Linked DNA regions of Stegostoma tigrinum. The protein of the gene in region 2 binds, or shares a complex with, the protein of the main gene of each other region. Links are inferred from orthologs where the notes say so. Each region holds a gene or a part of one and is shown on either strand. Other genes may lie near its edges.

Region 1 (6,950 bases), on a different chromosome or scaffold from region 2:
CCCCAATTTATCATAGCTCAATGTATGGCTTGCCCCATCGCAGTTTCCTTTATTTAGATTCAGGGCATTAATTGATGCTGATACTATATCCATAGAATCCCTACAGTGTGGAAACAGGCCATTCGGCCCAACAAGTCAACACTGACCCTCTGAAAAGAATCCCACCCCCAGACCCAAACCACACCCACACCCCACCTAACCCTGCATTTCCCATGGCTAACACACCCAACCTACACATCCCTGAACACAATGGGGTAATTTAGCATGACCAATCCAACTATCCTGCACATCTTTAGACTGTCAGAGAAAACTCGAGCACTTGGCAGAAACCCATGCAGACACAGGGAGAACACGTAAACTTCACACAGCTGGAATCAAACCCAAGTTCTTGGCACTGTGAGGCAGCAATGCTAACTACCGAGCCACCACGTCACCCTTCTTCATCTTCATGAAAAATTCCATCATATTGTAGTTATGCTTCCCAAGGGGCCTCACATGGACAGACTGCCAATTATTCATTTCTCATTAAACAATATCCAGCCTAGGATGGCCTGTTCTCTAGCTGGTTCCTCAAGGTATTGATCCACAAAAGCAGCTCATAGTCACTTTATGAATTCCTCCTTTATGGTATTATTGTTGATGTGATTTGTCTAATCTGTAAGATAGCTGCAAAGATAAGAGCACCTGGTGCAGGAAGTAATATATTTGCAGCATAAAGGGTTGGCTATCAGGAATCAGAGTAGTAATAACTAGAACTTTCTGGGATCGGCAACCCGAGACTAGCTGGGTTCGCAACCATTTACAATCTACATTAGCAATAAGGGATGACAGAACTGAATGTTTGGTAGCTAAATTCACTGTCACAAGGAGGCAGAATCCACATAGGGATGTACACAGGCCAAGTTCATGGGCAAAACTTTGGCAGAAAGAATATAATGTCAATAAATGTGAATTTGTCCACTTTGGCACAGGAAAGTGGTATTATATCAAAAAAAGATGCTGAAGACTTGAGTATCCTGGTAAATGAATCACCCAAAATTAGGATGCAGGTGCAGCAAGGGATTTAGAAAGATTTTTGATCCAGGAAGAAGTCCAGGAGCTATGCGTATGCAAACAAGACAAGATGATCACAAAAACATCAACCATGATGTTGAAAAGTGGAACAGTTCGAAGAACCAATTTGTCTATTGTTCCTAATTCACTCCTAAGAGAGTGAACACTGTTAAAACAGGAAAGGTATCGTCAGAGCAACTTCAACAAAGAGCCCCCCAAACTTGGACAAATAGGTCGAATTTAAAATTCGTGCTGGAAGAACCCGTTGACCGACAGAGAAATGCTCTCTCTCGTTGGGATGGCATAGACAGCCTCCATGTGGCAGGGGTCCATACTGGCCCTTTTGAATAGCCCCGAACAGGTTGAGTCCAACAATCACGCTGGCCTCCTCCTTGGAGCAGGAGCTCCGTTCCCCACAGTCCGGGCGCTGGGAACCCGCGCTTCTTTCTTCACTTACAACGCTTGGTAAGTTTGCAGAGAGTGTCAGCCAGCTGTTGGTACTGCTTCCTGCTCATGTCTAATGGCCGTATCCGAGACATTGTTGCTCCTATTCAGCCGCCAGACCCTTACTGACTCAACCACCTTCCCGTCTCTGTCCCTCTGTCACCAACGCCACAATTTCCTTGGTAACGCCACGCGACGCGGCCCAATAGGAATCTGCGAAGGTGGCGGCTGCGTGCGCATCTACTGGTGACATCAGGCAATACTTCTCCACAGTGACGAATTGCGCCGGCGCAGCGTATGCGCGCGAGCGAGTAGCTTGTGCTCGTGCTGGGGGCTTGCATTTATTGTCTGTCCATAGTTGAAAGATATTAGTGAGCTGCATTTTTTAAACTGGTGCAAGTCATTTAATGGATAGGACTGGAGTGTTGGCAAGTTCCAAGAGCCACACTGAGCCAAATATTTCCAAGTCTGTGAGTGGTGGAGGAATCTTTAAGGTGGTGGCAGTGGTGTTCTCATGTATTGGCTGCCCTTGGCCTTCTAATAATCATGGGTTGGAAAACTCTGTCAAGGAGCCTTTGTGAATTTCTGCAGTGCGTCCTTAAGTAGTATACATCACTGTTACTGAGTGTTGATCGTGGAGGGGATTAATGTTTCTGAATATGGCGCCAAACAAGTGAGTCGCTTTGTTTTGGATGGTGTCAGGCTTCTCAAGTCTTGTTGGAACCGCATTCGTCCAGGCAAGTGGAGAGTATGCTGTCACATTCCTAACTTTTTCCTTGTCAGTGGGCTTTGGGGAGTCAGGCAGTGAGTTACTTGCTGCAGGAACCTAGCCTCAGACATGTTCTTAAGGACACAGTAATTATATGCCGAGTTCAGTTTTGTTTCTGGTCGATGCTAACCTCAGGATGTTGATTCAGGTGTGGATTCAGCAATGGTCATGCTATTGAATGCCAAGTGGGGTTGAGGGGGTTGAAGGTTAGATTATCTGTTGGAGATGATCAATGGTTGGCAGTTAAGTGGTGAAAATGCCTTCTCATAACCAGTGGATCCAATGGTGATGGACATTTAAAAAATTGACAGGAGATGCAGTGTCCACAAATATTCCCATTCTCACTGATGGGAGACCATAGCACACCAGGGAAAAAGATAAGGCTGAAATGTTTGCATCTATCGTCATCAAAGTGGAGGATCTATCTTGGTCTCCTGAGATTTCCACCAACACACATACCAGTCTTCACCAGTTCACTTCACTCCATTCCAATCAGGAAACTTCTAAAGGTAACAATATTCTAGCAACTGTACCAAAGACTTGAGCTCCGCAATTAGTCATGGCCCTAGTTGTGCCAGTGTAGTGACTGGCATGTAGATGCCAATGTGGAGATTTACTCAGGCGTGTACCAAAGCAGGAAAACCCAATCTGACCAATTACCACCCTATCAGTCTGATCTTAATCATAAAAGTGATGATCATGAACAATGCTATCAAGCAACACTTGCAAGGGAATAGGTGTTTACTGGCATGCAGGCAGGGTTCTGCCAGGGTCTCTCAGCTCCTGGCCTTAGTACAGCGTCTCTCCGCTCCTGGCCTTAGTACAGCGTCTCTCCAAACACTGACAAAGAGGTGAATTCCTGAGATGTGGCAAGCTTGATTGTCCTTGACATCAAGGCTGCATTTGAACAAGTGTGGCATCAACAAACTCTGGCAAAATGCAAATTAATAGAAATCAGGGTTGGGGTGGGGACAGTGGTGGTTGAGGTGATGAGGATTCTCTATTGGTTGAAGTCACACAAAGCATTAAGAAAGATGATTGTTGGAAGTTAATTGTCCCAGTCCAAGGACATCACTGTAGGTATTCTCCAGGGTAGGGCCTCAGGCTCAGCTATCTTCACCTTTTCATCAATAAGGTTCCCACTATCATAATGTCAGAAGTGAGGATGGTCACTGATGATAGCACAGCGTTCAGGGTCATTCACAACACCTCAGATGCTGCAACAGTCTGTGTCCATTTGTAGCAAGACCTGGATGACGTCGAGGCTGAGAATGAATAAGTGGCAAATAATCATCACATCAGGCAAATGCCAGGCAACAATCACTTCCAGCAAGAGAAAATCTAACCATCAGCTGTGATAGTTAATGGCATTATCATCACTGAATCCCCTACTATCAACATTCTGGAGGTTACCATTAACCAGCCATAGAAATACCATGGTTGTAAGATCAAGACAGCAGCTTGGAATCCTAGGATATGTGACTAACTTTGTGACTTTTCAATGCTGATCCACCATCTGCAAGGCCACAATTCATGAATGTGATAAAACATTCTCCATTTGCCTGGATGAGTGTAGCTCCAATGACCCTGAAGCAGCTTATTTGGCACTCCAACTTAACATCCAACTTTCACCACCATCAACACTAAAGTTCAGTAGAGGCAGTGTATACCATGCCCAAGATGGACCGCAGTAACTCACTAATGTTTCTGTGACAATACCCTCCAAATCCATGAACGCTACCACCTAGAAGGTCAAGTGCAGATTCTTGGTAACACCACCACTTGTAAGTTCCCCTACAAGGCGCACACCATGCTGACTTGAAACCACGTCACGGATCTTTCGCCATTACTGGGTCAAAATCCAGGAGCACCCTTCCTGACAGCACTGTGGTGGTTCCTGCGCCTCAAAGACTGTAGTGATTCAAGATTGCCACTTTTTCCAGGGTAATTAGGGAGTGCAATAAATGTTGCCCGAGCCAGTGACCCACATCTCATGAATGAATTAAACTAAAAGGCTTCCTGTGCTCCTTGGCCAACTTAATCCTTTGCATTTCAGCAGTTTGTCCAAGTAACACGAGGAGGGAATTTTCCTAAAGGGGAAAAAAAATTGCTGCTATTGACTGTGTCAAACGGTTACACTTTGAAGCTGTAACATAGAAAGCAGAATGCCCAGTTTTAATGCTGTGCTGGAAAGATTGGCACAGGAATAGGCCAAACAGCTCTTTGATCACCAGTTAAATTTAATCTTGGCTGTTTCATATTTTTATTCCATCTATGCACTTTGGTTCAGTAATGTTTAATACTTTTTTTTAAACCTAAGATAGATTCAACAGCTTTTTAGGGAAAGATAGTTGCAGTCTTCCACTACCCTGCATAAAGAAACGCTTCTGATATCACTGCTGCACGGCTTAATTCAAAGGTTTTGTCAATTCTTTCTCAATTCTTTTGCCAGAAGAAGTACTTTATCCACTTACATCTAATTAATAATAATCTTAAATACCTCATTTAGATTACTCCCTAATAATCAGGCCAAGTAACTTTAAGCTTTCCTCATAATGTAATCATTTGCTAGCACATGACAGTAAAGAAATTGATACAACTGCCTAGCATCACTGGATGATGGTTTCGTGTTGAAATTCCTGTATTAGAAAATTAAATGTTTGACATGTGTATTTAATTATTTAAGTATGTCTGTTGTCTAATTATATTTGAACAGGTGTTCCTTCCTGTACTATTACTTTGAATGAAAAACTTGCAAATGATTTTGTGAACAGGGAACCGTATAATGTCATTGCAAACATTTATGCTCTTGGCCATTTTGAAATAATCAAAATTGGGTGTAAACACTGTAAAATCAAGGTCGAAGAGTAGGAATTCAAGGAAGCCATGTTGATTTTCAGCAACACCTTGGGCTACAGCAGAGGAATTGCTGTTATCTTTAGCACATCATTACATGAAGAAATTGATTACAGTGTAAATACACTCCATACATTAAGATTACTTAAATGAAGAAGGATTTGAGAAAGATTTTTCAGTTAAGATGAGAATTAAGGAAGATTATAATGTGACCTGATAACCCCTTTTAATTTTCAAAGATTGTTACGTTAAGCTAAATTGTGCTAGATTGCTTTTGCCAACTGACATGAAGGCGACAAATTTAAGATGAGCAGAAGTGGAATCAGAATTCTTTTTTTAAAATCTCAAAGAAACTTTACTACATGGAAATCTCAGTCAAATCATTGTTTAGCAGAATTCACAGGTGAAAAATTCCTCAGAGCTGCTCTTTCTATAACTTATTGTAGTACTGGAGGTTGTGATCAATGAGAAAGCACAGCTGACCTTGAAACCCTCTGATGAAATTTTCACCTCTGTACTTCTGCAGTTGTACTGCAACTGATTGCGATATTCTTAATTGGACATATTCAGTATGGAGCAGCAGTTATTATGCTGTAAAAGTAAATAACCCAAATAAAAAGGCATTCACAGCTTCTCAAATTGGAAAGAAAGAAACTCTCAAATAAAGTTCCTTCCAGAAATCATATTAAAGATTGGAACATTCTGGGTGAAGATGGAAGCTAAAATTTTCAGAACTACTGAAGATTAGCTTCTTAAAGTATGTTAATCATTTTGCAGTACTGATCGATTCTGCAGTGCTGTTGCCTATCAAATTAGAGCCATAGAGCTGTACAGCATGGAAACAGACCCTTTAGTCGAACTCGTCCATGCTGACCACATTTCTTATTTAATCTAGTCCCATTTGGCCCATATCCCTCCAAACCCTTCCAATTCATATACCCATCCAGATGCTTTTTAAATGTTGTCACTGTACCAGCCTCCACCACGTCCTCTGGCAGCTCATTCCATACACGCATCACCCTCTGCATGAAAATGTTGGCCCTTAGGTCTGTTTGTTTTAAATCCTTTCCCCTCTCACCTTAAACCTGTGCCCTCCAGTTTTAGACGCACCCCAGGGAAAAGACCTTGCCTATTCACCCTATCCATGCCCCTCACGACTTTATAAACTTCTCTAAGTTCACCTCTCAGCCTCCAACTCCCCATACAATTCAGCCTCTCCATATAGCCCAAGGTCAAGCCCTCCAATCCGGGCAACAACCTTGTAAATCTTTTTCTGAACCCTTTCAAGTTTCACTACATCCTTCCTATAGCTGGGAGACCAGAAGTGCATACAGTATTCCAAAAGTGGCCTAACCAATATTCTGCACAGCTGCAACATGACCTCCCAACTCTGATACTCAATGCACTGACCAATAAAGGCAAGTATACCAAATGCCTTCTTCACTATCCTTTCTACCTGCAACTCCACTTTCAAGGAATTATGCACCTGCACGACAAGGTCTCTTTATTCAGCAATATTCCCCGGGACCTTATTAAATGTGTAAGTCCTGCCCTAATTTGCCTTTCCAAAATACAGCACTTCATGTTTAGTTAAATTAGATTCCACCTGCTCCTCCTCAGCCCATTGGCCTTTCTGATCAAGGTCCCATTGTACGCTAAGGTAACCTTCTTCACTGTGTCACTGCACTTCCAATTCTGGTGTCATCTGCAAACTTATTAAACATACCTTCTATGTTCATTTCCAAGTCACATTGGAAGTATTATTACAAATTCAGTTACACTTGTTTAAATAAGATCTTAAGTTTTTTTTTAATGGGATTTCAAATAG
Region 2 (7,710 bases):
TTTGTTCCTTCTTCAAAGAACGGTAATAAATTTGTCAGGCCTGATTTCCCTATCGGTCGCCATACTGACTCTGCTCAATTTTATAATGCATATCTCAATGCTTGCTATTACATTCTTTATTATAGTCTCTAACACCTTTCCCATGACAGATGTTAAACTAACTGGCCTATTATACCCTTTCAAGTCGCTCACTTTTTGAGTAAAGGTGTTATGTTGGTATTTTCCAATCCTCTGGAACTTTTCTTGAATATAAGACTTCTTGAAAGATTACTACCAGTGCATCTAATATTTCTGAAGCTATTTCTACAGAATTTTACCATCTGTAGAAGATTTGTATTCCCATGGCCCAGTATATCCCTCAATCAACTATTACCATTAAATCAGGGGATAAATGCACATCAATGCAAAAGACAAGGCTGAAACGTTTGCAATCAATGATCAGCCAGAACTGCTCAACCTTCTTGTCCATCATTGACAGGAATCAAGTTTTATCTGACATTATAGATCCCAATCTTTAGCCACATCACTCCATGTGATACTGAGAATTAACTGAACATACCAGACACAGCAAAAGGTCTAGGCCTTCACAACAACCCAGTTACGGGACAGAAGAGATAGCAAGAACTGCAGATGCTCAAAGTCACTACAATGTGAAGCTGGAGGAACACAGTAGGTCAGGCAGAATCGGGGAGTAGGAGAATCAATGTTTCTGGCCTAGATCCTTCATCAGGACTGATAAAGAGTCTAGGCCAAAACATCAACTCTCCTGCACCTCTGATGCTGCCTGACCTGCTATGTTCCTCCAGCTCCACACTGTATCGACTGTAATAGAGAAGGCTTGTGCTGCAGAATTACCACATGTAGTCAAGTTGTTGTAGAACTGTTACAACACTGACATCTACTCAACAATGTTAAAAATTTTCAGGTATTTTCTGTGCAAGCTATTACCCCCTCAGCCTACTTGCAGCGATAGGTGTCATTGATAGTGCTCTCAAGCTGTGCTTACTCAGCTAAATCTGTTCACCAAAGCTCAGTTTGGATTCAATCAGGAACACTCAGCTCCAGTCCTCAAAACAGCCCAAGTATGGATGAAGAGCTGAATTATACAGGTGAGGTGAAGTGGCTGCCATTTACATCAAGGCAGCATTTTGGCTCAGTATGGCATCAACAAGCCCAGGCAAAATGAAAGCCAAAGGGAATTGTGGAAATTCTCCACTGTTTGGAGTCATACTAAGCACAAGGTAAGATGGTTGTGGATGATGGAAGAGTTCCTCAGGGTAGTGTCCAAGAATGAAATATGTTCAGTCACATCATTCATTGAAAAGCTGGTGGTGAGTTGCCTTCTTGCACCACAGCAGTTCATCTGGTGCAGATCGACCACATTATGTTGTACAGAAGGGGGTTTCAGGATCTTGATCCAGTAACGATAGGATTGGCACAAGAGTTTCAAGTCAGGATTAAGCTGTAGTTTGGAGAATAACATGCTAAGCGTGGTAACAATTGTGCCTTACTAGGCAAGTGCCATTTCCAATAAAAGAGAATCAAACCAATTCCCCTGGACCTTTGACACCATTATCAGTGATGAACTCTCCATCATTAACAGCTTTTGAGGACTATTGACTGAAAAATTAAGACTTAGTTCCTCTGGTCCCAAATGGGCATCAAGACTCTATCACTAGGCCTGATTTATAGTCATTTCTTGGTCTAGTCCAGAACTTCTTTAGCTGGCCCCATCTTCTTCTTCCATCTGGTAGCATCTATCTTACTGCCATTTCAGCAAGATGAGGACAAGAAACTCAAACTAATCAGCTATTCAAAAATTGTGGCTACATGATTAAGTAGAGCTGGAAATTCTGCAGTGAGTAGTTCACCCTCTTAGTCCCTAAAGCCTGTCCACCATCTACAAGACACAAGTCAGCAGTATGATAGACAACTCCCCACTTGCCTAGATGAATATTGCTCCAACAACACTCAGGAAGCTCAGTAACATTGAGGACAAAACAGGCCCTTTGTTGAAATCCCATTCACGGCCTCCAGCATTCATTACCTCCACCAGCACCAGAGTTCAATGTCAGCAATGTATCTACAGAATGTGCTGCAGCAACTTTGCAAAGCTGCCTTTAACAGCACCTTTTGAACCAGGTGTCTATCATAGGAGCAGCAGATGTACCTACAGGGGTCGTCTCCAAGCCAAATTTCATTATGTTTTGGAACTGTAATACTGTATCTTCACCATTGCAGAGCATCACACTGTATGACCTGACAGCAAAGGGCAAATTGACATGGGAGAACAAACGCTGACCAGCAGTGGTCACATCTCATGGAATAACATTAAAATTATGCTTCTTACAGTACCACTATCAGTCACTCATATGTAATAAATCCTTAAAGAAATTCAGGAACCATTTATGTTTCCAAGTTCTTTGAGAATGTGACCAAACAGGTAGATGAGAGTAAACCGGTTGATGTGGTGTATATGGATTTCAGCAAGGTGTTCGATAAGGTTCCCCACAATAGGCTATTGTACAAAATGTGGAGGAATGGGATTGTGGGAGATATAGCAGTTTGGATCGGAAATTGGCTTGCTGAAAGAAGACAGAGGGTGGTGGTTGATGGGAAATGTTCATCCTGGAGACCAGTTACTGGTGGTGTACCGCAAGGGTCGGTGTTGGGCCCACTGCTGTTTGTCATTTTTATAAATGACCTGGATGAGGGCGTAAAAGGATGGATTAGTAAATTTGCTGACGACACTAAGGTTGGTGGAGTTGTGGATAGTGACGAAGGATGCTGTAGGTTGCACAGAGACATAGATAAGCTGCAGAGTTGGGCTGAGAGGTGGCAAATGGAGTTTAATGCAGACAAGTGTGAGGTGATGCATTTGGTAGGAGTAACTGGAATGCAAAATACAGGGCTAATGGTAAGATTCTTGGTAGTGTAGATGAGCAGAGGGATCTCGTTGTCCATGTACACAGATCCTTGAAAGTTGCCACCCAGGTTGACAGGGTTGTCAAGAAGGCAGACAGTGTTTTAGCTTTTATTAATAGAGGGATCAAGTTCCGGAACCAAGTGGTTATGGTGAAGCTGTACAAAACTCTGGTGTGGCCGCACTTGGAGTATTGTGTACAGTTCTGGTCACCGCATTATAAGAAGGATGTGGAAGCTTTGGAAAGGGTGCAGAGGAGATTTACTAGGATGTTGCCTGATGTGGAGGGAAGGTCTTACGATGAAAGGCTGAGGGACTTGAGGCTGTTTTCATTAGAGAGAAGAAGGTTGAGAGGTGACTTAATTGAAACATGTAAGACAATCAGAGGGTTAGATAGGGTGGATAGGGAGAGCCTTTTTCCTAGGATGGTGACAGCGAGAACGAGGGGGCATAGCTTTAAATTGAGGGGTGAAAGATATAGGACAGATGTCAGAGGTAGTTTCTTTACTCAGAGAGTAGTAAGGGAATGGAACGCTTTGCCTGCAACGGTAGTAGATTTGCCAACTTTAGGTACATTTAAGTCGTCATTGGATAAGCATATGGACGTACATGGAATGGTGTAGGTTAGATGGGCTTGAGATCGGTATGACAGGATGGCACAACATCGAGGGCCGAAGGGCCTGTACTGTGCTGTAATGTTCTATGTTCTATGTTCCATAGTTTTAATACTGTTGCTCCATATTTTAATGTCAAAATACAGATTTCACAGTCACATGGGGAATGCCACAGCAGTCCTCGACCACAATGCACATTGCTCACAGGCAGAAAGCAACTGGTAAAAGAAGTGGGAGGGGGAGTTGAACTCATATTCCGCTTGGGGCCCCTGCAGCCCAATGGTATCAATGTGGACAGAGATAATGGGAACTGCAGATGCTGGAGAATCCGAGATAACAAAGTGTGGAGCTGGATGAACACAGCAGGCCAAGCAGCATCTCAGGACCATAAAACCTGATGTTTGGGGTCAAGAGTCTAGGCCTGAAACGTCAGCGGTTGTGCTCCTGAGATGCTGCTTGGCCTGCTCTGTTCATCCAGCTTCACGTTTTGTTATCTCAGTATCAATGTGGATTTCACAAGATTCAAAATCTCCCCTCTCCCTACTGCATCCCAAAACTAGCCCAGGCCGTCCCCGCCTCCCTAACCTGTTCTTCCTCTCACATATCCTCTCCTCCCACCTCAAGCTGCACCTCCATTTCCCGCCTCCTAACCTCATCCCGCGCCCCCCCCCCTCCTTGGCCTGTCTGTCCTCCCCGGACTGACCTATCCTGTCCCTACCTCCCCACCTACACTCACCTTTACTGGCTCCATCCCCGGCCCTTTAACTCGTCTCCTCTCTATCTATCTTCTTTTCTCTCCATCTTTGGTCCGCCTCCCTCCTCTCCCTATTTATTTCAGAACCCTCCCCCCATCCCCCTCTCTGATGAAGGGTCTAGGCCCGAAACGTCAGCTTTTGTGCTCCTGAGATGCTGCTTGACCCGCTGTGTTCACCCAGCCTCACATTCTACTATCTCGGATTCTCCAGCATCTGCAGTTCCTATTATCTCTGGTAAAAGTAGTAATTTGTGCCTCTGCAGTCAGTTAGCAAACAGAGAGGTGGGGTTACTGATTGGATCGCCGCGCTGACGGAAGTACAGTACAGCATTGAGGTGACGGGAAGATGGTATGGGCCAGGGCAGTGTCAACTCATAGGTTCCCAGTTCGTCAGTGTGTGAAGAGACGTCAACCTGGTTAGTTACCACAGCAGGACGAACAGGAAACGGAAATCAGGGTTTCTCAGCAACTGCTTTATTGCCTGTTGCTCGGGAGATTAGATCAAGCAAACGAAACGAGTTAGAAAAGGAAGGGGAGAGAGAGAGAAGATAGAGAGGTGAATCGATCCATATTGGCGAAGGTAGCAAAAAAAAGGGAATAAAAGTGAATTTGGAAAGGAATTTCAATTCAGTGGCAGAAAAATAGCATGTGGAGCCAAAGAGAGAAATAAGAACCTAAACATTCGTTTGCAAAGACTGGCAGCTCAGCAGGGACTGGGACACGAAAATAAGGGGCAGCTACAACGGGAAAGACGGCCCAGGGTCGACGATGTTCGGACCTTCGCGGGTCCCTGTCCAGGAACAGATCTGGGATTTGCAGAAAAAAATCCAATTATTAGGTAAGTTTGATTGGACATATCAAAGAAACACAATAGAAGAGAATGAGCACACCAGTCTGACACCTCGTGTCTCTAACAATAATATTTCTGGAAACTCAAACAGTTCAGATATTTTAACCTGGGATGTGTAAGAAATTCTTCACTTGATTCCTTTGATTTGCGAGAATTAAAAGCAAGATAGCAAGGTAAATGGAGAATTGGAAAGAGGAAGAAAGAAAGGAAGGAAATAGAAACTGTGAGAAAAAAATTCATGGACGTGAGATGAAGGAAACTGAAGAGGCAGAAATCAGTGCAGAGAAGATGCTGCATTTAGTCTGAGCAGTATTCATCCTATCAGTTAGAGATTAGAAGAGAATACCCTTTCGTGATAATTGCCAAGGATGACCTAATGCATCAATGAGTTGCAATTAAACAGGGACCTAAAATTCTTCATAAATTTTCCATGAAAGTTTCAGGATTTTACCATGGAAAAATAAGCCAAAGTTCTTTACAATTTGCTGATTTGCTTCAAAAACAGAAGTTACTGGAAAAGGTCTGACAGCATCTGTGAAGAGAAATCACATCTAACATTTTGGGTCCAGTGACCCTGATTTGCTTTTTTTTCTCCATTTTGATTTAATTGGATGTGATTTGATGTGATTTATTGTCACACGTACCTAAGTACAGTGAAAAGCTTTGTTTGCAGGCAGTACAGGCAGATCATAGTAAGCAAGGATGTACAGATCATAGGATGAAGAAAAGATTTGGATATCGTAAGCCATGCAGATTACACTGCAGAGAACATGCACAAGGCAAGGTCAGCATTATTTGAAATTACAGTCCATTCATCACGTGTGTGTGTGTGTGTGTTCAAGCTTTTGTATCCTCTGCCTGATGGAAGAGGTTGTAGGGGAGCACCACTGGGGTACGATGGGTCTTTGATGATGATGGCAGCCTTTATGCAGCAATGAAACATGTAAGTGGAGTCCATGGATGGGAGGTTCGCTTCTGTAATGGTCTGGGCTGTGTACATCACTTTCTGTTCTTTCTTATGGTCCTGGACAGACCAGTTGCCATACCAGGCCATTATGCACCCAGGGAATATGCTTTTCTTTGGTGCAACTGTAAAAGTTGGTGAGGGTACTTATGGACATGCCAAATTTCCTGAGCCACTTAAGGAAAAAGGGCCATTGTTGTGCCTTGACCGTTGCTTCCACATGGAAAGTCCAGGACAGGTTGTTGGTTATTGTCACTCCAAGGAAGCTCTCAACTTTCTCAACCTCAGTTCTGTTGATGTAGATGGGGGCGTGTTCTCCTCCTTTCTTTATGAATCAAAGATTGGTTCTATAGTTTGGCTGACATTGACAGAGAGGTTGCTATCACTGCACCGCGTCATCAAGCCATCTATCTCCTTTCCGTATTCTGACTCAATGTTTGAAGCCCACCCTACCGCGGTGGTGTCATCAGCAAACTTGTAGATGGTGTTTGTTTGGAAGTTGGCAACAAAGTTATGAGTGTACAGGGAGTACAGTAGGAGGCTGAGGATGCATCCTTGGGGGTCTCCAGTGTTGAGGGCTATAATGGAGGACGTGCAGTCTGTCTTCACTGATTGTGATCTTTGGATCCAGAGGATCCAGAGCAGAGGGTGGAGCAACACTTAGGTTTTCTGTGTTTGCCTGAAGTGGTCACCTTCGGGTTAAACCACCACCCATAGTCTCGCCAAAGAGAGAGCAGCCCTATTGTTGGTCAGACCACAGTTACTTTACTCTATTTTACTGGTTCCCTGACCAGGATAAGATTATCCACAGAAGCAGAACATGCTCATCTTATTGACTGGTTTATTTCAGAGGGTGACCGTAAGGCTTACTATGAAAGTTCACAGTGCAAAATCAAGAAGAACAAGGACACCATTCAATATGTCAGAGAAGAAAATAAACGCCTGCACAGAGTACTTGCAGGGGCATTGCTGGTAAGATCAAATCCTTCTCAACGTCTCCCTTTGCCTGATGTGTGGTGACTCTCAGGTTCAACCAGCACTTGTCGACTCTCTTCGAGAAGAGGCCCTATGGTCTAGTCGGACTATGTCGACTTGTTGGCCTTGAATTTTGATTTTACTGACTTGCTCACAAGCTCAGTCATTCACCTCTATTGTAACAAATTTCTGTAGAAGTTGAATGTGTGCTTTTAATTGCCTTCATCACAATATTGGAGAAATAATAAAGCTGCATTTTTACAGCACCGTTTAAATTGAAAATGTGCAAAAGTGTTTCACAAAGAAACCAGGGGAGTAACTGAGAATATTATAAATAACATACGCTGAGCTTTTGAAGAATAAATTGGAAAGATTGATGAATGACTTGGTTGAAAAGTTGCGTATTAAGGAAATGAATCAGATGAGGGTCCAATGAGTCAGTGTAAAGTTGCTGAAGGATGTAGAAAAGCAGATGCCAAAGGAAATTTGTGGGCATTTCACAGAATCACAGAATACCTGAAAACAGGCCATTCTGCCAACAAGTCCACGCTGACCCTCTGAAGAGCATCCCACCTAGACCCGTCTCTGTATAATCCTACATTTCCCCCTGGGTAAGGCACTTAATCTATA

The links. The genes of interacting proteins can lie anywhere in the genome.
Region 1: odad3 (region 2) and clxn share a complex: the UniProt entries of both Homo sapiens proteins name them as parts of the outer dynein arm-docking complex. The link is inferred for Stegostoma tigrinum from reciprocal best matches to the Homo sapiens genes ODAD3 and CLXN.

What each region holds. Positions count from the first base shown.
Region 1 is NC_081355.1:77,300,283-77,307,232, forward strand, and holds the start of clxn (calaxin), read right to left. Parts: upstream 3,008-6,950; 5' UTR 1,593-3,007; coding exon 1,511-1,592; intron 1-1,510. UniProt on the Homo sapiens protein: Component of the outer dynein arm-docking complex (ODA-DC) that mediates outer dynein arms (ODA) binding onto the doublet microtubule. Seems to regulate the assembly of both ODAs and their axonemal docking complex onto ciliary microtubules.
Region 2 is NC_081388.1:25,227,275-25,234,984, reverse strand, and holds the start of odad3 (coiled-coil domain-containing protein 151), read left to right. Parts: upstream 1-4,709; 5' UTR 4,710-5,059; coding exon 5,060-5,129; intron 5,130-6,955; coding exon 6,956-7,077; intron 7,078-7,710. UniProt on the Homo sapiens protein: Component of the outer dynein arm-docking complex (ODA-DC) that mediates outer dynein arms (ODA) binding onto the doublet microtubule. Involved in mediating assembly of both ODAs and their axonemal docking complex onto ciliary microtubules.